Linked DNA regions of Oreochromis niloticus. The protein of the gene in region 4 interacts with the protein of the main gene of each other region in a pairwise test. Links are inferred from orthologs where the notes say so. Each region holds a gene or a part of one and is shown on either strand. Other genes may lie near its edges. The genes, in order: snx12, ndrg4, myg1 and arl6ip1.

Region 1 (7,746 bases), on a different chromosome or scaffold from region 4:
AGTTAAAAGTAAAAAATGTATGTCCTTGTTCATATTTTTCAAAATCATCCAGTGGGCCATATTGGAGCCTTCGCCTGGCCGATTCTGGCACTCAAGCCTTATGTTTGAGACCCCAGACTTACTGTATCAGTACAGTAAATGTAAACAAATAATTAACAATTAATATATCCAGTGTGAACTAGTGTATAAAATCTAGGCTGCAAAAAAACATCAACCAAACACAAATGCAGATCACTCGTCCAAAACGAGTGCAAACGAGTGACCCAGAGAAAAGATTAAAGATCGTTTTTAGATTGTATCAAAGGCTTGTTGTCTTGTGGAAAGTTTCCATTGCACAACATCTGACAGATCTCACACAACCCAGGAAACACACAACATTTCTGAAGGCAGAAGACCACAGTACACGACAAGTACTTGTTATTTTTGGCAGTAAAATATTACAGAGTTACTTTATTTCAAGCAGAATAACTTCCAATAACCTTTGTCTTGCATACGGCTCTTGTCACTTTTCTGTTATTTTGAAAGAGAGGGAATTACATGAGATACTGTCCATTACATAGAGATGCCTACAAGACTAAATTCTGTTCCAGGAAGATGTGCTTTGATCAAAGATCCCTTCTAAATGATCTGCAATCATGCAAAGTTACAAACATTCCTTTTTTAATTACTGTTACCATTGCTGATTCTCATTTGTCAGTACAGACATCAAACCATTACACATTTTTCACCGTATATTCATCATAAATTGCTGAACCACCTTCATCACAACCCTGGTTATCCCACGATTTATTAGGATCAGCTCATAGATCATTTGGATGTATTTTACAACTCTATGACTGCTTCTCTAAACAAATTAACAACAACATATACCTATAACAATAAATGCACAGGGAAATTACTTTACTGTCGCTAAATTTCATAATATGGATGCTGATAACCAAGATCTAGCTTTGAAACGCTTACTATCTTCAAAACTACACATTACTTATTTGATCTATAAAAGTCTGCCGTTAAATAACCTTCAAATAATACAAAAAGGAAAAAGCTTGACGTTAAACACACCTGTGAAGTAAGCTAAGCCCACAAAGTTTCCTTCCAGAAACACTGAAACAAATTAACCAGCAAAGCAATCAAAGAACAGAATTTACAGATAATGCAATGTGTTACACGCTGTGCATTTGGGAAATAAAGTTCCCGAAGTATATGTGACACGGACAGCGGCAGACTCAAAGAATATTTTAGATCAGCAATTTGACTCAATCTGAGGCCACTCTGTTGTTTAGGCCTGTCAGAACATCAGAATATCATTACATCAGTAAGGACACACAGTGTAAAAATGTGCCAAACATGTAGAGCTCCCTGCTGTGGCGATCACTTGTGAATATGGGGGATTATTAGGTTCCACATGACTACCATTAATTGTCTTTAAAGATGGTTGGAGAGACAGATTGCATTTTTAATTAATCAAAAGCTATGTATGTGTTATGGGATATTAGTATTTTATTTCTAAAGATCACAGTTATCATCCATCTACGGGGTGGACTGGATCTGGAGCGTGTTGCACCTTTATATTGGATGATCTTTGTTAGATTTGTATAGTTGATTGTCATTTATGCTTAGAAATATCTACTCATATATATGCTTAGAGTTTTATAATCAATGTCATGTTGGTAGAGGTTTGATCCTTAATAGTCTGCAAAGGCATTGTGTGCATTCCAGAGTGTTCTGGCATTCACACCCACATTCTGGGAGCACGGGAGAGGTTATATCTGCTCTTACTGATATATGGTATAGCAAACACACGTATATCAGTTTTAGTCTAAGTGCTTTTTGTTTAGATGAACTGCTGGACTTCCAGACCAGCAGGTTTAGGGAAGTCTTTATGGGGTCACACTCTGACCCCCCCCCCCCCACACACACACACATGCACACACACACACATACTTACACAACGCACAGGCAAGGTACTCTTTGTGTGTATGTAGACGTCATATGTTAATGAACCTATGTATATTCATGTAACCTCAATAAAAGAGCAGTGTTACGGGGGAGCGGACGAGAGCAACTGGGGTCAAGCGAAGGAACGGTGTTTGTCCGGTTCTCTCCCGTGCACGAGAAACATAAAGAACTTTGCCTACTCGTGTCTTGCTTTGCTGTGTAATTACATTGTCTTCAACGTTCCAGCGAATAGGGTTAAGCTACAAACCTATCAATCTTGACCTTAATGTCAAAAGCTGTCTGCCAGCCACGCTCAGTTGGAGTTCTGAAACCAACAAAGTCTAATGCAGTTGTTGCATTGTTAATTTGAATGCTAAAGATTTCCTTACCTCCCATACAGGCTCAGAATCATCCTCGTTCCCGTGGTTCCCAAGCCATCTCCATTCCTGCATAACATCGAGGTCAGTGGCATCCAGAGTTCTGTCCACTCCCTGAAAGTTTTATGTAGATGTTAATATGAAGTTGGAAAGCTATTGAAGTTACTGGAAGAATTAAATGACAGATGAGCTTCTTAATGGATTTTAGTAGCTTTAATGTTAACACTTACATTAAGATTCATGACAATTAGTTCAGTAGCTGTTTATTTATGTCATTGACTAGACCGTGCTGGCACTAAAGAACAGCTGGGTTTACATCTTCTGGATACCTTGAATGTCTGTAGATGTTCAGGCAGTCAGTTTAACAGATTTTAAGATCTCTGGATCAAGAGCTGGATCAAGAGTTGGACCAAAAGTCTGACAATAGTGCCACTTAATGGCTAAAAATAGAAATACTCTTGTGTTTGAGTGATTTTAGTTGTCGAACTCTGGGGAAGCAATTACTCGTTACAAGTGAGGGTCTTTTTCTCTCTTTTTTAAGGATTGGTTTCAGTTCTCCAAGGGCCTGAAAGACAATTTTAAACCGAACTACAACGAGCGTGCGTGCCCTGTGCGTGAGTACAACTATGTCTCCCAGTCTGATGTGGTGAGCTCCGACGGCTCCACCTGCTCTGTCACCACCGACCAAACCGACTGCTCCATCGAACAAGATCCAGAAGACCTGTCCGCCCCCATTCCCTCTAACCCAGTTTCATCTGAGGAGGTGCAAAAAGCTTCCGTTTAGGAGCCATGTTTGGATTTCACAAACATGAATCAAAAAACCTCCTGCATGACTGCAAGAGATACCTTAATTTGACTAAATAAACGGTATGCCCAATAGTTACTATCAGAAGAACCCCAATAATTGGTTCAGGAACCTAATTTGATCAATGCTTGTTATAGAGGTAAAACCAAAGCATGCGATTAAGATTTTAGAAGTAAATAAAGTTCATAAAGAGTTTAATATGTTTTTAAAATCCTTCAGCTCAGAAGTATTTACGGTTACTCTTGAAAACATTGTTTAGACTCTAAATATTTGACTAATTGATGCTTTGATGTACGCATAATCCTTTGTTGACTTCCTACATGAGCACCAGGAACAATCCCTCAAACTGGGGGTTTTTTTCATTTGAATCATTTTTTTCTATTTTTGTTTTCTTTTTAAAGCAGGAACGATTCTTGAAGTGTTCATTTGGAGAGACACAGTATTGTGTCCCGTAAGCTGAGCTGAAAGTAATTACATATTAATACATACAAGCCCAACTTTACTCAGTGGAAAGTAAGGAGTTTAACTTAAGTAGTGCAGCTACCACCTCGAGGAAAAGATAAGATAAGATAAGATAACCTTTATTAGTCCCACACGTGGGAAATTTGTTTTGTCATAGCAGGAAGTGGACAGTGCAAAAGTTATGAAGTGAATTGTGGGTTTTCTTATTGAAAACCCACAATAAGAATAAGTAAAGGTCTTTGTGCTTCAGGGCAGCTTACAGTAGCTTTTTTATTCTACTGTGAAAACTGAGCTTGGAAATATTATTATATTTTTGATAAACATTCACATTTTGAGGTTACTGAAAAAAGTGTAGAAATATATACTTACATACTTTGCTCAATAATCTTTTTTGTCACATGTAAACCGTTAAAACTGTAGAATAAGCAGGGAACAGCAAACACTCCCTGCAGATTTGGACAATTTGAAAACATGATATCTTACTATTTTTAACCAAACACCTTACTGTTAATGTTACAGTATATGTATGAATGATACAATCGTTTACGTACTCGCTACGTCCAGATGAACAGATTCAACTTTTGGAGACTCGCTAATAGTGTTATTGTAAAACTTATGCCGAAAATGTTTTGTAACAGACAAACAAATAGATGTGTTTGGCCATCATTCATACTCTCCTAATATCACACTTTGTCTTTAGTTAACAACCAAATTATCATTTTGTTGATTTAAAAAAAAAATCTTTTTATCATTTTTATAAACATGTGTAACTGCTGTGCTCTTTCTAAGGGTTTAAAAACATTGAAAAACAATAATTTTCTCTACCTGTATACAAATATAACTTCAATGATATCTATTTAAAACAATTTTGTTGTACTTTTTCTTTGCCTTAATGTTTTTTGTTACCTTTATTTTTGTGTCATATATATTTTTTGCTAGCTTGCACATTACCTCCCTCTGGCCCTTGTACGTCTCTACTTCTGTTTTTAAAAAATAAATAAATAAATACAAATAATGTGTTTTGTTTTGTGTTTTTTCATCAAAACTTCAGTCCTGTGAATTGCTCTGGGTATAAAGGAAACTCAGTACAATCAGCAATATCTGTGTGTCCATTAGAGGGAGTGCGGAGTGTCCCGCACAGTACGGAACTGAGTCAACGCATTTTTCTGATTCAAGAAGGGTAGGGCGCAAGGCGGCTGGCCCCCGCAAAGAGAGCTACACAAGTCGGCTACTTCCCCAGCTGAAGCGGTCGGCTATCGAAATCAGTTGATGCCTTCAGATGACATTTAAGACTTCACTGTGTATTTAGTTGGTTTGACGCTCATTCTCCGTTGGTCGTCTAAAAATCACAACCCGACAAAATGTCAGATCCTGTGGTGGCCGATACTCGCCGGTTGAATTCCAAGCCCCAGGACCTGACTGATGCTTACGGTCCCCCCAGCAATTTCCTGGAGATAGACGTTTATGATCCACAAATCGTTGGAGTCGGACGGGGCCGTTACACAACTTACGAAGTTCGCATGAGGGTAGGTATCGAGGCGTAAACCTCAAACACCTTGCAGCATTAGCTTTTGGCGCTAAGCTAACTCTTAATAATTACAGTGCCGATGCTAGCCAGTTAGCCACTTAGCAGCTAGGGTCACCGTGCCGTGACGTTGTCGCTATTCGTCGTAGAGTAGCTCGAGGTAGGGCGCGAGTAAAAATCGAGCAGCTGGGACTGTCAGCGGCCTAGCTGACATGTAGAAGTTTCTTGAAGGTATGCTAAGGTGCAATTACGGGAATGTAAGCAGTGTCACTAGTTCAAAGTCAGTACTGTAGTTAATTTTCTCCTCAGCTAACAGTATTGTTTGTGAGCTAGTCTGCGTTAAGTAAAAGGAAACTGAATAACACATTAAAACAAAACCAGGAATTTCCAGCAGACTCCGGGAAGCTAACTGCTAGCTATATGTGATAATGCGCTGTAAAGAAAATTAAGACTGATTTAATGTCACATTGTTTGTCTGTCTGGATTTCTAGAGCTAAATACATCAGTGGATAGTATGTGGATATATGAAGGAGTAACTAAACGTTATTCCTTCATATTCTTCGACAGTTTGATCTTGATATTCAGAGAAAAGCTGAATGAAAAAGGCTAACAGTGTTGGTGTTTTTCTAAAAACGGTAGAACAAAACGCATAAAAGTGTTTTGTGATTATTGAAATATGAAGAGGTCGAGTTAAATGTTGGATTTTTCTCTATAGTATTGCAAGGTAGTTTACGTTACTCTGTAAAGTGGCTTTTACTTGACTGTTGTGAAATTGTGTAAGTCAAATTTAATGTAACAGTTACAAGTTTTAACTAACTTGTTCACTAGAAAGACGGCTAAGCTTAAAAGAATGTGAGACGTAGGAAATCACTAACACAGCTAAATCTAAGGACATTTCAGGAAGCTGATTCAGTGACACAGTACAGACGCACTATAATTGTGTAATTGAATGTTAACGTGCCTCCCTTTCCTGCAAATCATCATTTTGTGCCACTGCGGAGAGTCTGCCTTGCACAATATGAACAACTTACTGTTCTCAGTGCTTGAAAATTGTAATAGACCATGGTAGGGGAGGTTGGGTCAGGGGCCTGTGGTTAACTAATAACTGCCAAAAAGCCATATCAGTCCAGTTAAGATTTGATTTCTCACTGGGCTCAATAGTGGAAAGCAGAGGGTCGCTGCAATCATAATCTATGCTTTTACAAGTGGCTTTAATTGCTTTTCAAATAAACACAGTATAGATTTATTTTTTTCTGTACAGAACAAACCTTTGCCAGTGATTAGCAGAGCTGATTTGAAGCCAGATAAAAGACAAGTTAAAACTTTTGGTGAAATAGGGGAAGAAAAATGATAATAGTTGGAAATGTAGTGCAGGTCTGTTCCTTACATGTCAGTTGCTATCTCATGCAGATGGTTGAATTTCAAATTAACCAACATGTTTTGTTTTTTGCCTTCTCTTTGTAGACGAACCTTCCCATTTTCAAATTAAAGGACTCCTGTGTGAGGAGAAGATACAGCGACTTTGAGTGGTTAAAGAATGAGCTGGAAAGAGACAGTAAGGTGAGTGAATAATAATTAACAGTGCAAGTGCAGGGATTGCATTGTGTGACTTGACCATGTAAAATAAGTAATCTGATTATTATTATTTTCTGAAATGAAAATATGGTGATTAAAATGTTTACATGCACTTGCACGGCTATTCTACATAAAATTGTTATGAGGGCCCAGATTTGCCAGTGTAAATGTCTACAGTTTTGACTTTGTTTCATGTTGAGTGTGGACTTTTTTTTTTCTTTCTTTCTTTTCCCTGTTCTTTGTGTCGACCCCTGCCTCCTTCAGATTGTAGTACCACCTCTGCCGGGCAAGGCCCTGAAGAGACAGTTGCCCTTTCGCAGTGATGAGGGTCTTTTTGACGAGTCGTTCATTGAGGAGCGAAGATCGGGCCTGGAGCAGTTTATCAACAGGTCAGTTAGTCACAAAATTACATTATAGACGGGAGTCTTGGGTGGAGGGAGACGTGAGCAAGACTTCATTGTGTTTTTTCTATCGCTGAACTTGTATCAAAGCTATTGCTGTTGTTTCTTTAGGTTTTTCTATCCACTTTAGTGAGCTGTTTGTTGTCAAAACTGTGTAGCCCAACACAAGGCTTAATCTAATCTGTGCCTGGGAAAGGAGAACCAAGCAACAAATCCATGGCTCCTTTTCCCCAGCATTCGTGAAAAGCATTTTAAAATGAGCAGAGAGTGAGTTTACAATGTTTCTTTCTGTGTTTCTGTATAGAATTGCAGGTCACCCCTTGGCCCAGAACGAGCGCTGTCTTCACATGTTTCTTCAAGAGGAAACCATTGACCGTAACTACATTCCTGGAAAAGTACGACACTAGGATTATTGAGGGATACGGGCAGTTGGGGGTTAAAATGTTGGGGCTGTAGAACGGACTGCCTCTTGCCTTCTCTTCCCTCCTAACTTCTCTTAATCTCTCTCTTTGTCTGTCTCTCTGTCTCTCTTTCTTTCACTCTGTGGATATTATTACAAAGTCATATTGTCTTTATCTTGGAGTTAGAGCATGAACTTCGGCAACACACACAACATGTTGACGATGTTTCAGACAACTGTGACTCCTCTCTTCTGTGTGCGTT
Region 2 (7,507 bases), on a different chromosome or scaffold from region 4:
TCTCAGTGCCAGTCTCATTGTCTAGCTATTGAAAATGCCACTGGGGGGAGGGAGATGGGGGGAGCGGTGGCCTGTGGAGCGGTGCAAAGAACCCAAAGAGCAAGAAGAGTTGTTTCCAAACAGAAGGAACCAGAAAGCGAGCAATGAAAGCCTCACATACCCGACATCTCTTCTAAGGGACAGTTTTGTTACCCCCATCTGAAATTTAGGTTAATCTTACTGTTTTGTCTAAGGAAATGTCTTAACAGAATAAAAGTGTGTAGTCGAGTGGTATATTGAGAGCTGATGTGACTGCTACGCACCTCACAGTCAGTTTAAGTTCTGCTCAGAGGTTAAAATTGGGGAATTAGCCATTTAGCCTTCCTTACTAAGTAGTTAAACGTTCTAGAAGCATAATTTCAGCAGTATGTGATTTCATGCGTTTGTCTTGTATTTTAGAGAAGAGATCACCACGTAACCACACTGTCAAATCTCACAACATGTAGCCTCTGACTTCAGCACTCTATCTGTTATCTATTAATTCAAAGTAATAAAGTAATCCCCATCCAAAAGTCAAACTTTTCTCTTTGCTTTGTTTCAAGCAATTTACTTGTGACCAAAGTATTGTGATTTGAACTAGTCGGTGCTTTATGAAGATCAACTTGTGGCTAAAAGGTCTTTAAGGTGTGAAACCCCTTGAAGTTTATGCTGACAATAGCAAAAATATCACCAGTGCTATCCCTCAGCCTCCCAGTAGACGCACGTTTGACATAAATTTGAAAATTCTACGTGAGATCTTTTCCTATTTAGGGTCTTCATAAGATTGTTAGAAAACTTCACCTCCTACCTTGATCTTCAGTTCAAGGTGAACAAATAGAAAAGGTTAAAAGATTCATGTGACTGCAATGTCCATTTGTTATGTGACTTTAAAATCTATCATCTTCTAGTTTATAAAGCATTTTTCCATTTAGCATGTAATTAAATAACAACATCAACAACACTAAGTCTAACCCTGGATGGTCTGGTCAGTGTTAAGTCCTTAATGAATTATATCTGCGCCTTATGCATGTGCAATTGTATGTTTGATATGCAGATGCAGATATATGCAGATAGCTTCCTAAGCAGTGGCTTCTTGCTAGCTTTTAAAGCTCCTCTGACTTACGGCTTGGTACTGGGACTTTCCTACTACTTCATATGCTTTGTTTATCTGAGAGGTTGTCTTAAATTTTTCATCTGGCTGTGAAATTTCCCCAATACCTTTGATTTTCGTGAAGTCAACAAGATGTAAAGAGCTGGAACCTGTGGCTAGAACCAGCAGGTGAAACATGGAAGCAGGATCGCTCGTATCTTATTGCCATTTTGGACACATAGTAACCCTTATTGTGCTTATAGGGATAGTAACCTTTTTACTTTGAGTTGTAGTGCAATACACAGTGAGTTGGATGTAGGGAGCAGTAAAATTACGAAAAATTATGAGCTGTTAATCGGGGTATAGTAGCAGTAGGTGACATGATTTAAAAGAAAAACCCAAAACTGCATCTCTTCCATTGGAAATTCAGCAAGATTTTAACTCATGTTGTTCATACTTGTAGAAAATTCTGGAATAATGTAATTAATCTATATCCCCAAAAAACCCCTCTGGCCAAATATGGACTAACTGGTGTGAGCTAGCATTGCTGTGTAGCTCGTGATGAACAAGAGCAGGAGCGTATTGCTCTTTGTAAATCTATTTATAAACTGCGAGCTGAGAAACAGACCCGCTCCCGAAGGGGAGACCAGCTCGGCTTCAGCGGCTGTTTCATGTTCTCAAGAAACAGCAGGAAAAATACGAGTCAATAAGTTTCATAGTAGCTTGAAATCTGAACATAGCAAAAGATGCATTGCAAGAAAATGATAAGTGGAGAGCAGTTGCTGATCCTACAGAGAAATTATGTAAGAGGTCCAAATAAAAATGGGACATCAACACTGTTGCTTTTTTAAGGATATGAAAAATGCACTTTAATCTGTTCATCTGTTCATTCTACTGCTGGTGTGACGCAACAAACCTCACTGTCCTGATCAAATCTGCATATACGTTAATGTTGTCTTATATGGTTCTTTAGTTTTTAAATGCGATCACCCAGCCTCTTTATTTTGACCACGATGCCCCGATGCCTTATGATTCTAATCTGTCAGGTCCTGCCAAGACCACTGAGCCAAATGCAGGCACTTTCAGGGCACCACTAACACAAGCCTGCACCAGATTCAATCAACTTTTATGACTTCCACCTACTGTCGATTCATCATCCAGCTGACTCAGTCTCCTTCAAATCCAGCATTGTTTTCTTTAGCACGCATCGCTCCCTCCCCTGCCATTGCCAAAGTCAGACACATCAGAATCAGATGATCATTAAAAGCATCAAGACTTTTTTTTTAAACTACAACTTTATAATCCCACTTCCCAACACAGGAAAATACAATATAAATGCAAAGGCTTTGGGTTTAATACATAATAATAATCCTGTCTGGTTTTCTAAATGTCGCACTTTGGTTCCTGTGGGGTCAATAAATTCAACCTCTTGACATCCTGTTCTCGCCAATGCAGAGGCTGGCAACAGGGGTGTGTATGTGTGTGTGTGAGAGAGAGAGAGAAAAAGTATAAAGCACAAAGCTTCAGCAGCAGCATTCACATACACCGTGCCAAAATTCCCGTCCTCATTTTAACATCCTCCTCCTCTAGTCCTCAAACACAAAGCAGCCTCACTGCATCCGAGCTCAAATCTGAGGGTAGAGTCAAAACACGAAGCTTCTCAAAGAGTTCACCTGCAAATGACTGTTTGCCACTCGGGTAGAAACTGTTGAATAAATATTACAATCCAGGCAGACAAAGCTTTACGGTACCTGTAGTGTTGTTCAGAGCTTCTGTGGCCGCAAAGTCTGGTGTCGCCGTGTTTTCTGTGTCCGTCCCTCAGGCTGCTACAGACTGGCTGAGTGTACGTCTCAGAGTGTTTGTGCGTGAATGTGTGTGTGTGTGTGTCTTCCTGTGGTCGCACTAGAAATGAGAGAGAAAGAGCTCTCTCACCCTCCCTCCCTCTATCTCCCTCCCCCTCCTGATGATAAACACAGAGCACGTGGCTTCACCAATGATGCAGCACGCTGACAATCACAGCACCGAGAAGCGAGGAGAGAAGTGAAGGATGAGAAAGACGCTGGTAAAAATATAACAAAGTGAGTCTGGTTAAAAGGAAGGCGTGGGAACGTCCGTCTTGTTCGTCATACGAAAAATCCAGAAATCTCTCTTTTTCCTCACCAGTTTCAACAACCAGTCATCTGATCTGCTTCAGACTCTCCAGGTGTGTTGCAGGACACATGAGTAGGTGCACTGCAGAGTCAGAGGTCATATGGATGACTACAGTGCCTGCGCTACTGTGTCTGTGTGCAGGGGGAGGGGCATATAACAACACACAAGCGTGTTTGAATGACATTCATTGACATTAAGTTTAAATAAGTGCCAAACATTATTCTGATTGTAAATCTAAGCCTCATAAAGATAAAGCCGTACATATCTTTACTCAACACGATCTGTTTCCTGCCTTTAATGTTCTGTGATAAATGATTTAATTTACTCGTGTTTTTTCGATTAGTGGTTCTCGAGAGAACTACTAAGAGTCTGTAAATGTGTCATTGTTTAGTTTTTCTTTGCCTACATGTGACACATGTGTAAATTGTACCTATAAAACCAGCCAGGCTCTGCACCGGTGCCGTTCTGCAGCCCAGAGCTCGCAAGCTTTGAATTTACTCGGGATTTTGAAACCAGGCAACAAAAATACATTCATCCAAATCTGGAAGAACATATCCTTTTCTGAATGTCCAATTCTGACACGGCTCTCAGACGTCTTCACGCCCACAGACACACACAAACGCACACACACTCAACCCAACAGCCCACAGGCAAACAGAAGAGCTATTTTGTCTGGGTAAAGCAAGCGTCAAAGGAGCTTACCATGTTTGGGCAACTGGGGCATGAAGTGATAGGGGCACTGATAGCTGCATCATCCATGTGTCTCTGGTAGAGTACTGACTTCAGCTTTGCTATGAATACAGTAAGGCTTGTTTATAAGAAAAGATTGTGTTTAGGCCTGCAATTTAAACTTGTCCACCTTCCATCTCTAACCCCGTGTTCCAGAGTTGGGAGTGTGTTGGGAGTGTGTTGTTTACAGGATTGGAGAGCATATGGGACGGTCACATAATCCCCTTTTTTGGGCACCTTACATCGCTGCCGGCCCAAGAATAAACAGAGCCTGATATTGTTTAAACATTCGAAGATTTGGGTAGCTCCGACCTGTTTCCTGACATCTGAATCACGACTCACATTTGTGATGTTACCAGAAATTGATGTGCCTAACCATTAGAGACAATCACAGATGAAGCAAACACCAGTGTGAGTGATGAGGCATTGAAAAGAAACTCATCATAGCTCTCTAATTACTTTTTGTTAAAACTAGTAACATTAAGCATTAGTTTCCAGCTTCATTTTTTCTGTTTCTTTACTTTTAGAAACCATTTGCTGTTCCTTTTGGTTCCATGTTTTTGGCATTGTCATCTCTGTGTTTTGGAATCCAAGCGTAGCCTGAGGTACCCGACCGTAATAGGCTAAATCTAAAGTACGTTTCATTCAATAAGATGGCAAACGCAGGGTCACGGAGCAGGTAAGAGCCAACGAGGAATTTCCCTTTACACCCAGACACCATCTGTTGGCCATTAGCAAGAAAGTAGATTTAAGGCACAGTGCTCGTACGTCTGTCGTGTGCATTAAGAGCCCTAATGAGATTATGAAGAAGCACCTGCACGAGGATCACAGCACCCACAACACTTGAAGCAAACTAAGGAGGAGAATGATGCCAGCATTCCAGCAATGGCTAAACTTTTAGTTTGGCAGAAGCTGTCCCTCTGTGGGAGAATTAACATCCCTGCTGCTGTTTACGTGATAAAGGAAAGGCTGCAAATATCAACTTGATATGACTAAATCATTTCACTTAAAGGTAGAGTAAGTTACTCTTCTCATAAGGTGAAGCTGTAATGTAACACATAGTTTATCAGTAGTAATCTGTTAAAGTTACAGTGCGTAAAATCTCACCGCTAGATGTCAGTGCATTACAGATCGCAGTCAAGTGAATCCTGTTATCTTACCTCCACATTCAAGCACATAATCGTAGCTACGGTGGCCGCTGTAGGACAAACATGTTTTGGTCAAGAGAGATCAAATACATCACATTTACCTCGTGCAGCTGTTCGAAGTCGGGACGGTTGTATGTCTAATTTGCTGACAATAAGTAATTGTGACAGTATCAGGAATAATTAATAAATAATGTTTGTGATAAAGCCCTGACTTCAGTTCAGAAGATGAGGTGGGAGGAAGAGGATCACGTGGTATTCAGGTATTCAGGTGCTGGTGTCGGCGTCTCTTTCCTCGCGTTTTCACCTTTTTGCTGACGTTTTATGTCAGATGATAAAATATGGGTATGGTCCTGCATAACTTGAATCTGAAGGTGCAGAGACGAAATAAAATATGCCTCCACGGCACGAACATGCCTACGAGTTCTCTTCTCCTCCGGCTTCAGTGTTCTGCGTTTGTGGCCGGTGTCTGGCCACATGCATAAGACTGTATTCGACCACTGTATTCAACAAACCAGCCTTATCCTGTGTAGTTTTTAATTAATACAATTATGCATTTATTATATTTGTTAATTTTTAGTATTTATGAGAATGCATCAGTTTGTTGAAAGACATAATGAGACACATAATGACAGTACCAAAAACTTAACATTAAACACTGCCTGTAATCATACTCCATGTACACATATATTATTACTTGCTACCAAAACCGTGTGGCTGTTTAACATGATATCATTCTCAATAGAAAATATTAGATAACAACAGAAAATACATATCACATTTTAGTTGAAACAATTGACATTTATGATCTAATCACAAGCATCTGTGTCTACAGGCAGCTCCCAAAACCTCGCTGTCAGAGCGCTTTCATCAAATGTTTGCTGTTGCTAGGCTGTAGGACTGTGGTCGTCATTGTTGGATTGTAAATAACTGGTTAGAAAATAAAATAGGAAGCAACTAAAGGATGAGGATCATCTGATCTGTCAGGGCAGGATGAGAATCTTCTTAGTATCACAGACAGTATAACCTATGTAGCAAACCCTGAGCTGACCTGTTACACAGCAGGTCCAAACCGATGGCGAGCTCGCCAACGCACTCTCTGCTATGTAACTCATCTTGATTGAGCAGCATTTAAGAATCCCTCTGAATCCAATCTAAATTTAATGTATTCAGTTTAAAGGGATGCATGACTCAGACCGTCATTATGTAAAGCTATGCTGTGTCATTCTATAAAGCACTAAATGTGATACAGATAGAGCTTTTAAAAACATATGTGAGTCCAATTTACGTCATCACATGCAAATTTAGAGCATTTAGCAGATTTGGCATCCATATCATGCTTGTGATGAGATTCTCCTTTCTTTCAGACCTCAGATAGAAGCCACTTTTCTGTTTTGTTGCAGTAGAGAGCATTTACAGCAATGCCACTAATAAGCTGAGGCGTTTTAATTGCAATGATTTTATTTGCCACAAAAGTCAGCTCAGTTTTATTTTAATAGCCCAGAATCACAAATCAGAGATGCCACAAGAGATGGAACAATTCAGCATCATATAAGTGGTTATTATTGAGCAAAGTTGTAAGGTAAATACAGCCTTTCTGCAGTATTTGATACATTGCACAATTCATCAACAATACACTTCAACAAATTACCCCCACCAAGTTACCTTCATTCGTTTTAGTGCCACCTGAGGACGAATTAAGATTTCACACAGATGAGTCATATTTGAGGAGGAGGAGGGAGCGAGGAGGGGGGTGAGGGTGAGGGTGTGGAGTGCTGGTGGGCAACTCAGGCCTGTTTTTCAAAAAATATCTATTTGGCAGGACAGTATAAAGAAGGTTTTGTAAATGGGAGTAATTACTGTATTAATATTCGGTCTGCCCTCTCATACAGAGTTCACAGTAATAACAAAATGCAGAACAGTTTGTTATGTGATCACTTTATCTGACTTTAGACTGTATTACAGATCGCTTTGATTCTGGGTAGTGGGACATATTTTGTTATTAGATAGTTGATGTTTCTGCAAATGTGTTTAGACATTAGACTCTGTGGCAGTAATCACGATTATCATCAGATGACTTTAAGTTTTAAATGTACTTTAAGCACAAACTTTGTTCCTTTATTAACACAAGTCTTTAGTAATTATAATTTCTTTGGTTGTTTTTCTGGCACCAGCTGTACAGTGAAAACACTTTGGGTTATAGACGACAGGTGTACCCCGTACCCAGTTCACATGACATCATTGTTTTTGAGTAAACCACTAAAAAAAATCACCCAGCATAAAGTTGTTATTAAGGGAGAAACTCTTCATATAGGCCAGTTTTGTACCAGCTGTGAACATGATTTCATTGTGGTTCACAAGTTTTTGAGGATTT
Region 3 (7,724 bases), on a different chromosome or scaffold from region 4:
GCTGGAAGCAGCAGATCACAGGCACTGTGACGTTTTCTGGGTCACCACCCACAACTGTATCTCATGGTTTGAGACAAGCCAATGGGGAACAGTAAAGCTGGGTGGTCAGCAGTATAACGAGGCTGGATAAGAAAAAAAAAAAAATCTTCATCTTGTTTATTTCAGTTTTTTGTGACCATGACTCATTTCTTTTCTGGGAACAGGTAGAGGCAGCTGTGCCCCATGCAGAAGTCAAGAAACAAGAACTGGATCTTCCCTTTTTAATTTAAAATTTCCTTTCAGAGATTTGCTGTGATTTTGGCATTGGTAACAATGAAAAAAAAAACCCATATCTGCTTTAATTGTATGTCCTCAGTAGTTACTGTTTCTTCTCACCACGTTTGTTCTGAAAAAATAACTTTGGAACTCATTACATTTTGCCAAAAAAGGAGTTCTTGCAAAAGTTTTTTTTAAAAAAAATCCATTAATATTAATTTTGCTACAAAGTACAGCACTACACACATTTATACTTTCTCTTATATTTTGCATTTTGCACCAGACTTGTTTGTATTTTTTAAAGTGGTCTTGATCATAGGTTTTTAAGTCTTTCTGAAGCCTTTCAAAGTTTTTCTTTGGATGGACACTGACTGCTTTTTCACTCATTTTCAGTCCAGTCCTTGTTCTTGATCATTTTCATCTTTTTGCTTGTTTGTTTGTTAAATCCCATAATACAAATCACTAAAGCATAAAAATGCACTTAAGACAATTGATGAACCACTGTTTTATCTACACATAACAGACAACTTGGCAAAGAACCAATTTTAAATTGTATTATTAGGCACTCGGTTACTAACAGCCTGTAACAAAGACACAGTTTGTTCCTCTTGCTTTAGTCGAATTTATGACACTATAGAAAGATGACACGTTTGACAGGCATGAAATCATATTTTTGCAACAAGGTGATTCCCAAAGCGCTCTTATGTGATCTTGCAGAAAACCTGGTGTATCTGAGCATGAGGTGCAGTGTGTTCTTAAAAAATTTGAGGAACCTGGCCAAGAAGAGGACAATGAAGAAGTGGCAGACCTAAAAAACTCTACTTCAGATGGGACGTTTTTCCATTTTTCAGCATGATAATGCAGCAGTCACCAAATACACAGGTACACAGGTTATGGTAATTACCTACTTGACCAACTCACATATTAGCTGTATTAAGAATCACTAACTTAACTGAAAAAAAGGAGTCCCATAAAACTAAGATGGAGAAGGACTCACCAGTTAGGTCAGGAGTGAGCTGTCCATGGTACTGTTTAGAGGCTACAAAGTCCAAAAGCAATAATGCACCAAATACACTCAGTATACCTGGCAGCATGGACAGAAATAAGACGATGCTTAAATGTTCACAGGTAAAAACAAAACAAAAACACAACAAAATAACTAAATTCATTGTAAATGTTTAGCCTTGTGATATCCTGCCCAGGGTTTACCCTGCCTTTTGCCCTATGACTATGGATGGATGGACAATTGGACGTTTTATTTTTCCATTTAAACTGAAACAGCTGAATGTCTCCTTGGCATAGGATGGTAAATGCCAAAATGTTATTTCTATACATTTTCCTGATCCCAGAAATACACTCATTTAACCTTTTGATCACTGTGCTTTTCCCTGAAATGAGAACATAAAGGATCGGACTGGTTTTTTCCCCACCTTTAAAACAGACTGATAGGCATAACTTCTTACATTAACCATGTTCTTTCACCCATTATTTCATTCATTCATTTTTAGTACCACACATATAGCATATTTAATAAAGCTTTAACAGCATATAATATAGTATTATATATGCAATTGCGAGTGCTTGAGTTCTATTAATAGTATGGCTGTTTAATGATTTGGAGGTGAGCACGACGTTTGTTTGTTTGTTTTCTGTTTGTCTCATATCCTTTAAATCTCTCCGAGTAGAGCTCCGTTTCTGCGGGACACTTAAAAAAATCCCCCTTAGTCTTCCATAAAATACAAGTTGTGTATTTTGAGGAATAACATTGGGGCTTCAGAGGAAATACATAGAATGATGGAGTGTGGGCGTCGACTGCTTAAGTCCCTTTACAGGAGAAACCCTACACCGGCCTCTCTGTGGACTCCCCCACTCCAAGTCAATGTTTATCGATTTCATTAGGCTGAAATAAAGACTTGCCAACGTGCCCGCTGAACTGGTGACACAGACGATGAAGCAACTTGGTTAAATGACTGGGACACAGCGCCACCTGGTGGTTCGACCTCAGACAAACATCGCAGCAAATATTCTCTGACTGTATTTACCGTTTTAAATGTGTCAGACTTCATGACTCATTGTCCCCATATTAAGGGAACATCTGCATTGCTAAGCAGCTGCAGTATGAATTGATGCCAGTGATACATTTGCATGCGATCATTAAAACTGGACAGGAAGAATATATTACCAACATCGAGAGAATGAATGAGGCTCTGCAGGAAGCAGGCTGTGCATTCATAACGCTAATACAAAATCCTACCTTTTGCAGGCTTGCTGTTTGGTTTCCGCTGGTAGATCGGTTTGTAAAGCAGGAAAGAGCAGCGGTTTTTCACACGGGAAAGCCCTTTAACCGTGCTACCTCCGTTCAGCCCTGCTGCTACTACTGGGGTCCCATCTGGCTAATTACCTTGTCAATAAACCTTGAAGGTAATACCGCGAGAACGAGAGTTGGGGGTGAGCGCTGATCCTGACCCTCACTAATGATCCCATCCCAATTCCAGCATGGCAGGAAAAACAGTCCAAGGCAATAACTCAAGGTTTCAATAATATTTATGCACGTGTCCATTCATATTAAAAACCTGTCACTGTATTGTAGATTTCATTTAAAAAGGAACAACAGTTCGTTGCGCCTCAAGGTGTAAAACAGTGTAGAACAAAGCTGACCAGGAAAATGTTTATATGCATTTATATTTATATGTATTTATTCATATGCACATGTCTAATGCACTAACCTTTTTACTGTGATGAGACTCTTCTGTTGTGTGCATCTTTTTTGTTGACATTATCCTTGAGATGGAAACTGGACAGTGATTGGATGTAATTTAGAAAGACACACACCCATGAGCTTTTCTCAGGACAAACACTAAGCCATCAATCTCCAAAGATGACTTTATCTACTCTAATGAAAGTGTGGCGAAGTGTGCGGGGCAAAGGGTAGAAAACCTTTTCTTGTGTCATCCCAGCAGGAACAGTGGCCTAAATAACTGTGAAAGGAAAAAAAACAAAAAGGTTTGTAACCACCAAGATCTCAGGTTGCACTAAAAATGCACAAAGCTGTGAATGGCTGAAAATAAGACAAATGGACTTTCACCTCATCCAAGAGGTTTTTTCAGTTTTAAAATAACTGATGGAGAGTCCCAAGTATTTAATACATAGTGGAGGCGTCAACCTGGAGGAGATCCTATGGGATAACCCAGCTAGGTGTTAAACCTGGAGTCTCCATCAGTTGTAGAACTGAAGATTCCTCTTGAATGAGAGATACAACGTCTTCACAGACAAAAAATGCACAGCCTGTCACAGTGTCTGTGTTGCTTTTTATTTGATCTTCTTGTTCTATCGGCTGCTCATCTCATCTCAGCATGTCTTCCTTCGCTACATCTATGAACCTTCTCTGCGTTCAACCTGTTTTCCTCCTGCCTACATATCCATCTTCAGGATCCACTGAATAGTGTAAACTATCCCTCTTCTGTACATGTCCAAACAGTCTCAGTCTTGCCTCAGTAACTTTGTGTCCAAGATGCTCAACCTCAGCCCCATCACATTTCTGTATTTTACCTTCTTGCTTCTGTTTCTTAGATTTAAAGTGTGCATGTTATTATTTTCTAATGCCATTTCCCTACTCTTTTGCACAATCTCTGTCTCATTTCTTTTACATTTTTCTTTAACTTCATTTTTTTTTATTTTCATCACTGCTGTATATATCAAATAGTGCTAAACATTAAAAATAGATATGAGATTATTTTTATTTATTTATTGCACTACCTCACACTATAGGCCTGAAAGTCTTCATCTCTGCCTCTTGTCATTTTGTCACTGCCACCTTCTCTATCCATACATCACAGCACATCTCATTACAATCTTGTAAACTTTTCCTTTAAATCTTGCTACCATCCTTCTCTCACAAATCACCCCTGACTCTACACCCTCTCCACCCTGCCTGCACTCTCTGCTTCACCTTTCTTGTGTACTGTCCCCTGCTTTTGATAGTTGACCTCAGGCATTTAAACTATTCCACCTTCACTTCACCTCCTTGTATCTTTTCTTGCCTCTCTCATTGACAAAAATCTATTTTGTATGAGAATACGAAACAGTGAATCCTTGTAAATTTAACATAATTATTTTTTATTATTATGTAATTGTAGAATATATTTTTTAATAAAATAAATCATGTACAGTAGTACATAATTAACCATTTGTGCATTATACAGTGTCCAAGTCCTGCTTTTTTTTTTTTTTTTTTAACCCTGCAGCGTCCTCTGCTGTACACAAGTTGAGTTATCATTCTCCTGTAAACGAGCTTCTCCGATAATATAATCGCTCTGATTACCTGTGTTGTTGTCACCTGTGTTGTTTATCACTGTCTGCGTGAGTAATTTAAGCCCATAAAGGCAAACAACACAACGGTAACAATGGTGACAACAACAAAAATGTTACCCGGCATTTTTAGTTCTCTAAACAGGAGCACCACATCCGGTCCGGCTGTCAAATGTGTCCGCCACTGGCGCGTCTCGTGGATTACTCTTTGAATGTTGGTCGTGCGTGTTTTTTCGTTGGCGCTTAAATTAACAAAAAATAGATATTTTCTGGTAACGAGTGAAGCAGCAAGTGTGTCACGAAAGGTATTCTCGCGGTTTAGCTGCTTTAGTTCGCCCGTGCACTTTGCTAAAGGAGAAACGCGCTACATGTCAAGTGAGCCGAAGAGACTCTGCACCGAAAACATGACCGTTACAAAGATCGGAACCCACAACGGGACCTTCCACTGCGACGAGGTTCTGGCTTGTTTCTTCCTCCGGCAGCTACCCGAGTACTCGGTGGGTGCAGCACGCTGCAGATTGATGGAAACATGTTTGGGGTTATTGCTAACTCCATGCTGTGCGTTTAATTTTTTAATGTAATCACTGTGCTCATCGTTACTAGCTAGGTAGAATTTAAATCCTCCCAGGAAGTCCTCACCGTAAGGATAAAGCCACATCTGCATTTTAGGAAAAAACAATTAATCTTGTAATCTTCTGTTGACGGGTCCAGTGTTATGCAAAAAAAAAAAAAAAAAAAAAAACACACCAAAAGGGGGCGCTGTGTGTAAACGGATAGCAAAAACGATTACAGCATAAGCCGTTGTATGGTGAATATGTCACACATTTCAGTGTTATGGTCTGAAACTGAAAATACAGTTTTTGTGTGTGTGTATAGCCAGCTTTGCAGAGCATTTGAGTGAATTTTTTAAATAATAGTTAATCTCAACCTAATGGCACCTTTTGTCTCTAAATGGTACAATACTTAATATGGGTGATAAAATAATATTGATCAGATACAATACTGATCAGAGATTTGCTGCACTGCCCTAATAAAATCTGTGACCAAACCCAGGTTATAACCTGTCGTAGCTGTACCGTTGTTTTGTGGCACTGTATTGTTTATATTTGTAATTTTTATAATTTATATTAGTAACATAAATACCATATTTGATTACCTCTGCACGTCTGTGATTTATGCGTAGTTTAACAGAAACATTTTGATGACATATCTGAATTGACATATACTTTATACAGTCAAAGCTTAAAGGTTGGACCTCCAAACACAGTGCTGGGCTTCTATGGTCTAATTTTTCATGTGTTTTTTTTCTTTTCCCTCTGATGAGATTGTTGTAATGGTCTTTTAACAGGTATCAATCAGAAAGCATTAAATCAACTTCAGATGGTGAAAAATGCAGCAGCCTGACTTCTTAGAAGAACCAGGAACACTGAACATATTACGCCACTCTTAATGACTCTACATTGGCAGGCCATTACTTCTAGAACTGATTTTCAGATTATAGTCATTACTTTTAAAGCCCTTAATGACCTGGGCCCAGAATATATACTAAAACTACTGTTCCCGTACCAAACACCAAGCAGCCTCAGATGCTCAGGCAGAAACGTGTTAACTGTTCCCACCTCACATTTGAAGACTAAAGGTGATCGAGGGTTTGCTCTTTGGTCTCTTTAGTTGTTGAATGACAGTATCTTCTGCTCTCTGTCTTCATTAGTGTCTTCTTTTAAATCCTTGTTTTTAAAAAATAAATTTGATATAAAATGAGATTGTGTATGTTTTTCTTTCGATATTCTTTTATCATCCTGTTCTTTTAGATTTGCTAATTTGACGTTTTTCATTACATTTCGAGTCTTATATGCCTTAATATTTATTTATTTGTAATTTCTTTTTAATTTCATGCTAGTTTGTTTTTTTTATCCTGTGTTTCTGGAAAGTAAAGTGTTATACAAGTAAACAAATAATAAAATAATTATTATTATTAATTTATTTTGACATATATTTCTTTCTGTTTGTTGCACAGGATGGAGAAATCGTTCGCACCAGGGACCCTGCACAGCTGGCGGAGTGTGACATTGTTGTGGACGTTGGGGGAGAGTTTGACCCAAAGAGGCACCGCTATGACCACCATCAGAGGTGCAGTTCTGGCAGTAAGCTGCTGAAAAGAGAGAAATTTATAGCTGTAGATTTCTAAAATATTATGTACTCTGAACTAAGACTGGGGGAGAGATTAATCTTCACTGTTCATCAACAGTAAGGGTCAGGATCATATCACAGATTAATTTTATGCCAGCTGAAAAATTGCATTTCAAGTTTAAGATTAAACTCTTGTTTAGTCCCAAGTGCTGAAAAAAACTCGGTGTTGCATTTTATTACATAAACAAATGTTGTTAGAAACATTATGGCCCAATCAGATTAGTGGTGTGACGATATCGGCCAAAATGAGCTATTCATGTTTTCTGTCTGTATCGGTAGTTTTAAGGATCAATAAAAGAAAGTTTTAAAAGGTAAAGAAGATACAGGAGAAACACCACTCAGCCATGTTATGAGTGTTGATGTTACATAGTTTTTCCAACAGAGGGAAAACTCTATTTCCCTGTCGGCCACTCTGTTTAGGTTTTATTTTTCTAAAAGTAAAAACGGCTGACATATCAGATTATTGGATTTTGAAATTGCCAAATATTGGTATCAGACTTAACAATCCTATATCGGCCAGACTCTAATATACGTATGTACCAATGGAAGGAAGCGTAATCTTTAAAGTCTCCAGTCACTTCCAAGCACTGAGGTGCACCATCTCCAGCAAGCCAAAATAATTTATTGGAATTATTACGCCTGGATTTTTCCCGCTTTAACATCGTCAACGTACAGCCTTTGGGATTTCTTTTCATTATCTGAGCTCTAATGATGAGGAACTACATTTCTGGGTGGCTTCTGCTCTGACATCTTTGAAGCACCCTGATTGCATGAATCATAAAGTAACAGGCTCTGTTTTTTGTGTAGAATTTCTTCCTGATGATTGCATTCACTCGACGTCTCATCACGTTGAGTAATCAGCCTATTCCAGGTGTCTTGTCAGCTTAATGTCCTGATGATAATCAGCCATAGCTTTTATGACCACTGCGATAAAGATATGCCAGGGCTCTCTTCCTCGCAGGCGGTTAGTG
Region 4 (7,413 bases):
CATTTCAAGATGAATGCATGACTCATCCTGCTGTTCAGCTTCCCATAAAGAGTGTGTGATGTGACCGACTGACAAAACAGGAAAACCTGTCTTCATTGGGCCAAAGCAAATATGACCGAGCTCTCACCACTTATTGGAGCCAAACACTCGGGGGGCGAGGGTCGGCACCAAATAGTCAGCCAGGCAGAGCAGCATGACGGTGCAGGACAGGCCGGTCAGCACTGATGGGTCCAAGTAGTAGATGAGCCTGGAGGACGAACACAAAACAGGCAGAACGGGTTTGAACATTTCATCGTTTAAAATCACGCCTTTATTTTTATTTTGTTACAATTTGGGGATATCTGCTCATGAACGCTGGAGCTGCAGTTTTACAAAGCACCTGCAGCTGAAAGACATGAACACTGAGGGTGTGTGAAACAAGCAGGAAGGCATCAGAAACAGTGCAGCAGTGTTCTAGTCTGGATTCACCTTCAGTAGATTTCAGGAATCGCTAATAACGGCCCAACCTAAGCTCATTTAGCAGAATCTGCATTGTTTTGCTTTGTGTTTCAACAGTGTGGAAAAGATTAACATTAATCTGAGTGTTCTGACAACCAGCTGGAAAACTGTAATTAGGACACTGGTTTTACATCACTGTAGGCTTATATTACTTGTCACAGGCCTGCTGATCATCTTAATTAGTAATAAGTCAAAACTCAATGCCAGAATCAGCCTGCCAAAGCCTCCATTTCACCCCGAGGGACGGTTACACTGCTGTTCTTTCTGTGGTGACGCCTGCTTTACTAACCAAGAGCACAAGTGTCTGAAAGAGAGTTGTGCGACTTGTCAAGTTTAACAGACAAAATTATTGTCATTTTGGATTTCTTCGGTTCATCGATCTAAAAACAACTGAGGCTGTTGGTTAGCAGTTTTGTAATTGCAGTGCCGGGTGGCGCTCCTCTGACAACATCATGGTCTGAGCTTGAACACTACAATAAACAGTTAAAATGTCTACCGTGGTTTTTCTAGTGGTTTTAATAAGAGCCAGAGTGTGCGTGTGTGTGTGCGCGTGTGTTGACCACAAGCAGCACACTGAAAGTGGACCTGTATTAGCTCTGCACCCTGCTCACTCATGGTTGTAATTATACGACTCATTTACGTTTACAAAAGCAGACAAAACTCCAAAGCTAACTCAGTTCAACAGAGCAAACATAGAAATGGCTGCTGTGCACCACTAACACGTTACACATCCTAAATTACACCATTTAGAGCTGCTGCGCAATTCTAGCAGTATGTTAGCAGACAGGAAGGCCTCTGTGCAGTACAGACAGATGAAGGATGAAAAACGAGGGGAGATACTCCAAGAGAGGAGATTTCACCTGGAGACAGAATCACCTGTACACAACAGTTGTAAGAAAAAGTGACATTACAACCAACCCAAAAACAGAAAAGACTTACAGTTATGATGTGATTATAGCCCTATGTCAAATACTTAAAGTAGTTTTTGAATAATTTATACTCCTGACAGAAGAAGGTAAAACTACATAAAGACCCACTTAAACAAAATATACTACAAAAAAAATAAATCCATGGAATCCACCAGAATCGTAAAATACTGTGATGCAAATCTTTGGTCAACCAACCATCAGACTGCTGATTAAATCAGGAAGATAGCTGACCAAAGACATAACACTGTGTGCTGTTAGCTTTACTGGGGGTTTCAGAATAAACCTCTCTATACTGGAAGAAACAAATATGAGAAATGCTACAGTGGTTTACTTTGCTCAGCCCATCTGAGTTCAAACCAGGCTGCTTTTAGTCGCTGGCAGATGTAAAATATAAAAATTTAATATAAGCCTCTCCCTGCTCTCAGATAGCCATCACTGCTGAGAGGAAGGAAACGTGTGGTGCCAGCTGTGTAGCGCACACTCTGTAGCAGACTCACAGGAAGAGCACGGTGGTCGCACCCATCAGCGCTCCGGGGAACCAGGGCTTCTCCCAGCGCAGGACCTGATCCCCAGCCAGGATCACCTCTCGCCAGCACTGCAGCTGCTCCTCCAGCTGGGCCGTCTCCTGGGCCTGAACACACAAACATTTACACATTACCTAACTGACCATCAAACTGTGTGATATCAGTGTGATCTGAGAGGAGCGTGTACTCAGGAGGGCAGTCTCTCCAGGAGTTAGTATAAAGGTGACAGTACTGTGCTGCCTCTGGAAGAGCGGCTAGCACCTTTGAAGTCATATGATGTGGGTTTATCCTGCTGTGTTTCATACACAGAGCAACTGAATGTAACGATACTCGTTTATATGGCTCTCAGTTTGTGTGTTTTGTGGCCTAGAAGTCTATTTGAGAAGCAAATTAATAAACAGGGTGTGTGTCTTTGGTGATAAGACGGCGCAGTGACAGAGCACTACACGTAGAAATAACCGGGGACAAACACAGGCTGTCAAACCACGTCGAATGAGCGTGTGATGACTCGATCTCAGTTTTTTTTTAAAAGCTTTAAAATGATTTCTGCGTTAGGGCGAGGCAGCAGCTCCACAAAAAGGAAGCGTCCCCGCTACTGAAGCTAAAATAAGCATGCTAACTAGTCAGCTAGCTAAGGTTAGCTGCGGTCAGCGGCAGCACGGACGGATAAGCGATCGGGGTTAAATCGCTTAGCTTAGACTTCTCAGCTGCCCGCATGTGTAAAGTTCACACTATTTACACAAATCTCTAAACAGCGCAGTAGTGTTAGCGCCGTCAGATTAGCAGCGACGGGTAAGGCTAACGCTCCTGCTGCAAACACGCCTACATCGAACACGAGCCTTTAAATTCGCCATTGTGGGTTTTAAAAATGCTTCATACTTACCATCAAGTTCATGCTTTTGTTGTCTCCTTCCGCCATTATCGCTAAACTGAGCGGTCTACTTTCTAATGTGGAGTTCTTTTAAGAGTTTTCGGAGAAACGACCCACAGAAGGACAGCACCCTCCGCTCCCGTTAGCTTCAGCGCCACTAACGGTCGAGCCGAGGCAGGATGTTTTTAACTGAAAAACATACGTCACACCTGTCCATAGAGGCACTCTGGGTAATGGAGTTCCAATATTGATCCTTGCCTGTCGAAAACATCTTTTTTTTTTTTTTTTTACATAATCTTTTATTCACAATCATAAATTTTATCAAGATAAAATAAAAAATGACAATGAATATATTCAAAAATTATTTATTATTCTTTAAACTTCCCATATTCATAAGAACAAATTAATATAACTACAAAGAAGTGTTAGCTAATTAGCTAAAGCGAAAGATTAATACATTAATAATAATTTAATAAGATACAATCTGATATGAAATCCAAGAGAGTTAAAGCATACTTTTAAATTAAAAATATTAAGTTACTGCATAATAGAGCATATACGTAACAGAGTACACCATTTCAAATTTAACAACAAAAAATAGAATTTAAAATGTAACGCAGCATTTTAAATTCATTTTAAATGAACAACAGCTAAACACATTAAGAAAAAGGAAGCATTACAGGAGCTTATTTTAATTTGGCATTTTAAGAATAAAGTTAAATCCCATTTTTAAAGAGGAAAAAAGAAAGAAAACTTTGAGAAAATATCAAAAAAAATTATAAGTTTCTCTTTACTTTTATTGAAAAAAGCGTTACAGAAATGATGTCACCATTAAAATTAAAGGCATGCTCATTTTTGCGCTTTACTGACACTTTCTGCTGAGAAAATACACGTTTTTTATTGCATTTTATTACAGTTTAAAGTTTGTAATGAAGTATCTGCAGCGCGTTAACACAGTCCAAAAGCCATTAAACAGCCCCCTCTACAGGATAAAGATCATTTTTAAATTCCACATCCACCTCGGTCTTCTGGGACAAGTAGAAACTTGAAATGTTATCAGGTTAATGAAAACTACCATTTATTTTAATTTGGGAGATTTTATAAATTAAAAAGAAATCAGTATTGTAAAATGAAAGGAAACTAGTTCACTACAGGAAGGTCTTGCTTTGTTTCTTCACGTGATAATCCAGCTTCTTTACATCCTCTGCTGTGACCTCTATCTCTACGCCTTGGTGTTGTACCTACATTATCATAATAATGTTGATCAACATTGCAACTAATGAATCATGTTGTTGTCATAGTTTTGCAATATGATAGGATTTTTTTTTAAATTCCTTTGTTTATATAAAACTTTCTTCTGGAACAAATGGTCTGCAGTCCAAGTGTTTTTATACAATTTATACAATACAATAAATATATGATCAATTCTGGTTTAGTGTTAGCCACCGTCATTTAATGCTAACTGCACGCTCAGACAACATCACTGGTCAGTTGTGACGCTGATCTTGGACCACCATCGTTATGATGATGTAGGAACAACGCCAAGATGTCAGATCATGCTACTGTTACGTCCGTCTCCCTCATTCACACACGTGTAAAGCATTCCTCCCTACTCTCACTACAAATCACAATGTTGTCTGTAAACATCATAGTCCATGACCCTGTGATCTCCCCCACCTTGAATCTCATGCCTGCACACCTCAGGACCCCTCATCACTGTCCTCGTTCATCCTCTTAACATGTCACATAGACATAGACAGCATGAAAATAATTTATTCCAGCCTTGTGTTAAGACAGAAGGAAGGGGGAGTAACAGAACTGTATTGAACATTTTAAAAAGGAGAGAGATGCAGCTTGTCTTCTGTTTTTGGCACTCAAAGGACACAAACCTAGTTAGGCCTATAAGAAATTATGTTCTCAATACATTTCTCCTCATATTTTTGTAAATTCTTCATAAAATAAACTCATGTTCTGATCTATATATAAATAATGTCAAAGAGATTTGACATCCCAGGCTCATCTTTACCAAAAAGTGGAGTAAAAGGACTTAACATCCAGCTCCTTTATTGTTAAAGACACACTGAGTTTTAAAACAGAGTACATGATTTTGAAACAGTTAATGATTTATAATTATAATCAGAAAATAATCAAGTATAAGTCTGATCAATATAATGAATGAGAACTGTAGTTTGAGTTTAGCGTAATAACGTCCCTTACAATCCAAATTTCAGTTTTTGAGATGCCTGATTTTTTTCACCCAGATTCCAGGAGCATTGTTATGACTATGATGTATCCTTGACTCAGTGTGTATGTGTGTGTGTGTGTGTGTGGGAGAGAGAGAGAGAGAGCACAGTGGATAGAGTGTGCGTGTAAAAGAGTGAAATGTGACTCCGGCCCATCATCATGCATGATTCTGAACAAAACAAGTGATACTGAGTATACTGTGAGTCACAAATGCCGAGTCATGCAGAGAAAAAGTATTCCTAACTGAGTTAAAAAGAGATCAAGTTAGAATCATAAAGAGTGATGATGTTCATCCTACAACAACATAAAAACTGAATGAAAAGTAAAGTATAGTCATTTGTGACTGATAATGAAAGTGACTGAACTTTGCTTTAAATCATGTATTTGAAAGGCTGTAGAGAGAGAGCAGCATAGAGTGATGTAGGTGTCATAGATGTCTCGTGGAGATCAAGGAGGGGAGGATAGAGAAGAAGAACATGCACAAACACCCCATGCAGACGGAATAAGCTGTTCTTCCTCTAGTTTCAGTATCAGAAGATCTGGGATTGGGAATTCACAGTTGGAAATTACAGCAAAAAACGCCAGCTGATCAAAGTGCAATACTGTGGACTCACAAATTGGATTTATATATTTTTTGGCCTTTTTTCTGCTTATTTTTGTTGGATTATAACGTCAAAGCATTTGTCTGTTTCCTGCTGGATTGCAACTTCCAAGGATTTGACTCCCTTCCTATTTGGATTTTATCGACACGGAACGGATGATGACGGATGTGTCTGAAGGACTGCAGCTGACCTGCAAGGCCACCCAGGCAAGCACACCTTTAGAGGGAGCAGGATCGACATTCAGAGGACTATAAAGCTGGCTCCATCCAAGGTATGCAGTGCCTACTGGATGATACCCATAGGATCAGAGACTCGGACTTTGCAAACAGCCGGTTCCAGACTTTCATGTATTGGGGATAACGACAGAACGGTGTAGTTTTTGTTTTGTTTTGTGAATATGGTTCTGTCTTTCAGAACCTGAACGCGTCAGTCTTTATCCGCGCCTGCGTGCTTCTGACGTCACTGTGAGTCTCGTTCTTCCTGCGGTTGGAGACCAGAGGGGCTATCTGAAAGCTAACGGAGCTAGCAGCGTTTCTTTATCTCTGCATTGTTTTAAAGACACTGTTATTATAATCTAATTTCTGTGATCGTGTGATTGTAAGGGACCTTATTAACCGCCAAATTATCTCAGACGCCGTTTTCTCTTCGCCCCCGCCCGGAGAACAAGCTGGTACGTATCAAACACGTTAGCTATATTAGCTTCGCTGTGTGTTGAGAGGCCTTTAGAAACATGGCGTTACATTCGCCAGTTGGTAAGGAAACCAAATGTCAGAGAAGCTGCATTTACTCCTTTAATATATATATATATATATATATATATATATATATATATATATATCTGCGTATCACTTCGGTTCTGTTGGCGCTAGTCATCATAATTGAGCTTATTTAACAATCAGGCGCAACAGCGGGCCTGTTATGTCGCACGTGTTAGTGCGCCAAAAAATTACTGTTAGCGGTAATAAATTCAGATCAAATGAAGAAGAATTCACGTTAAACACGAGCGGAGACGCACACCGGCCCCCACAGCGTGTGGTAACCGGTTCAGAGGCTGCTCCAGCCTGCGGAGAACCGAAGCTTCAAACAAACCCGTGTCAACAAAAAACAAAAAGAGTGCGAGAAACGGATTTAATGACACACCTGTGACAGTCTGAGGCTTTAAACAGGTAGTAGCTAATAATCTTCAGACACTGCCAGTTTTATAACGTCTACCATTGCATCAGAATATTTGGTTATTAGCAGCGGAAGCGTTTTATGAGAAAAGTTCTTGTTGTCGAACCGTAACCACATCCTGAAAGATTTCTAAAAGTTATCTTACCTCAGTGAGAATTTCTTCAGCTGCTGTTCAGGATCAGGGAGCTGTCGGCATAATTGTAGGAACAAATACTGTCTGTACAGGTTTTCCTACTCCTACCTTTTATACTATTGTTTTATTTTTATTTATTGATTTTAACCCGTATAATAGTGTCTTTATTTTTACACTAATCTTGTTTTTTAATTTAAGTTAAAGTATTTTAAGATTATTTTTTTTTTAACGTAATTCTACATTTTTGTTTAATATATTTTTACTTTGGATCTTTACTTGTACAGTACTTTATTCCACACACATTTTTAAAATTTATTTAATTTTTCGATTTTTTTTTAAAATTTTATATTTACTTTAATTGCTTTTGCAGACTTTTATTTAAGCATAAAGAACAATTTAAAAAAGTTAAACATGCCTTCCAGCACTTCACAACAAAGCC

Evidence for each region.
Region 1: the proteins of arl6ip1 (region 4) and snx12 interact in binary tests that used the Homo sapiens proteins (3 or more experiments, as listed by UniProt). The two-hybrid records come from large-scale screens. The link is inferred for Oreochromis niloticus from reciprocal best matches to the Homo sapiens genes ARL6IP1 and SNX12.
Region 2: the proteins of arl6ip1 (region 4) and ndrg4 interact in binary tests that used the Homo sapiens proteins (3 or more experiments, as listed by UniProt). The two-hybrid records come from large-scale screens. The link is inferred for Oreochromis niloticus from reciprocal best matches to the Homo sapiens genes ARL6IP1 and NDRG4.
Region 3: the proteins of arl6ip1 (region 4) and myg1 interact in binary tests that used the Homo sapiens proteins (3 or more experiments, as listed by UniProt). The two-hybrid records come from large-scale screens. The link is inferred for Oreochromis niloticus from reciprocal best matches to the Homo sapiens genes ARL6IP1 and MYG1.

The regions. Positions count from the first base shown.
Region 1 is NC_031975.2:19,206,741-19,214,486, reverse strand, and holds snx12 (sorting nexin-12), read left to right. Parts: upstream 1-4,728; 5' UTR 4,729-4,943; coding exon 4,944-5,108; intron 5,109-6,571; coding exon 6,572-6,667; intron 6,668-6,946; coding exon 6,947-7,071; intron 7,072-7,387; coding exon 7,388-7,490; 3' UTR 7,491-7,505; downstream 7,506-7,746. Other genes in the region: uncharacterized protein LOC109203860, read left to right, coding at 2,339-2,399, 2,857-3,099. UniProt on the Homo sapiens protein: May be involved in several stages of intracellular trafficking.
Region 2 is NC_031972.2:4,222,165-4,229,671, reverse strand, and holds the start of ndrg4 (protein NDRG4), read right to left. Parts: upstream 3,015-7,507; 5' UTR 2,860-3,014; intron 1-2,859. UniProt on the Homo sapiens protein: Contributes to the maintenance of intracerebral BDNF levels within the normal range, which is necessary for the preservation of spatial learning and the resistance to neuronal cell death caused by ischemic stress.
Region 3 is NC_031970.2:5,668,013-5,675,736, reverse strand, and holds the start of myg1 (MYG1 exonuclease), read left to right. Parts: upstream 1-4,710; 5' UTR 4,711-4,775; coding exon 4,776-5,060; intron 5,061-6,580; coding exon 6,581-6,693; intron 6,694-7,724. UniProt on the Homo sapiens protein: 3'-5' RNA exonuclease which cleaves in situ on specific transcripts in both nucleus and mitochondrion. Involved in regulating spatially segregated organellar RNA processing, acts as a coordinator of nucleo-mitochondrial crosstalk.
Region 4 is NC_031969.2:32,733,583-32,740,995, reverse strand, and holds the start of arl6ip1 (ADP-ribosylation factor-like protein 6-interacting protein 1), read right to left. Parts: upstream 3,001-7,413; 5' UTR 2,871-3,000; coding exon 2,835-2,870; intron 2,059-2,834; coding exon 1,925-2,058; intron 248-1,924; coding exon 128-247; intron 1-127. UniProt on the Homo sapiens protein: Positively regulates SLC1A1/EAAC1-mediated glutamate transport by increasing its affinity for glutamate in a PKC activity-dependent manner.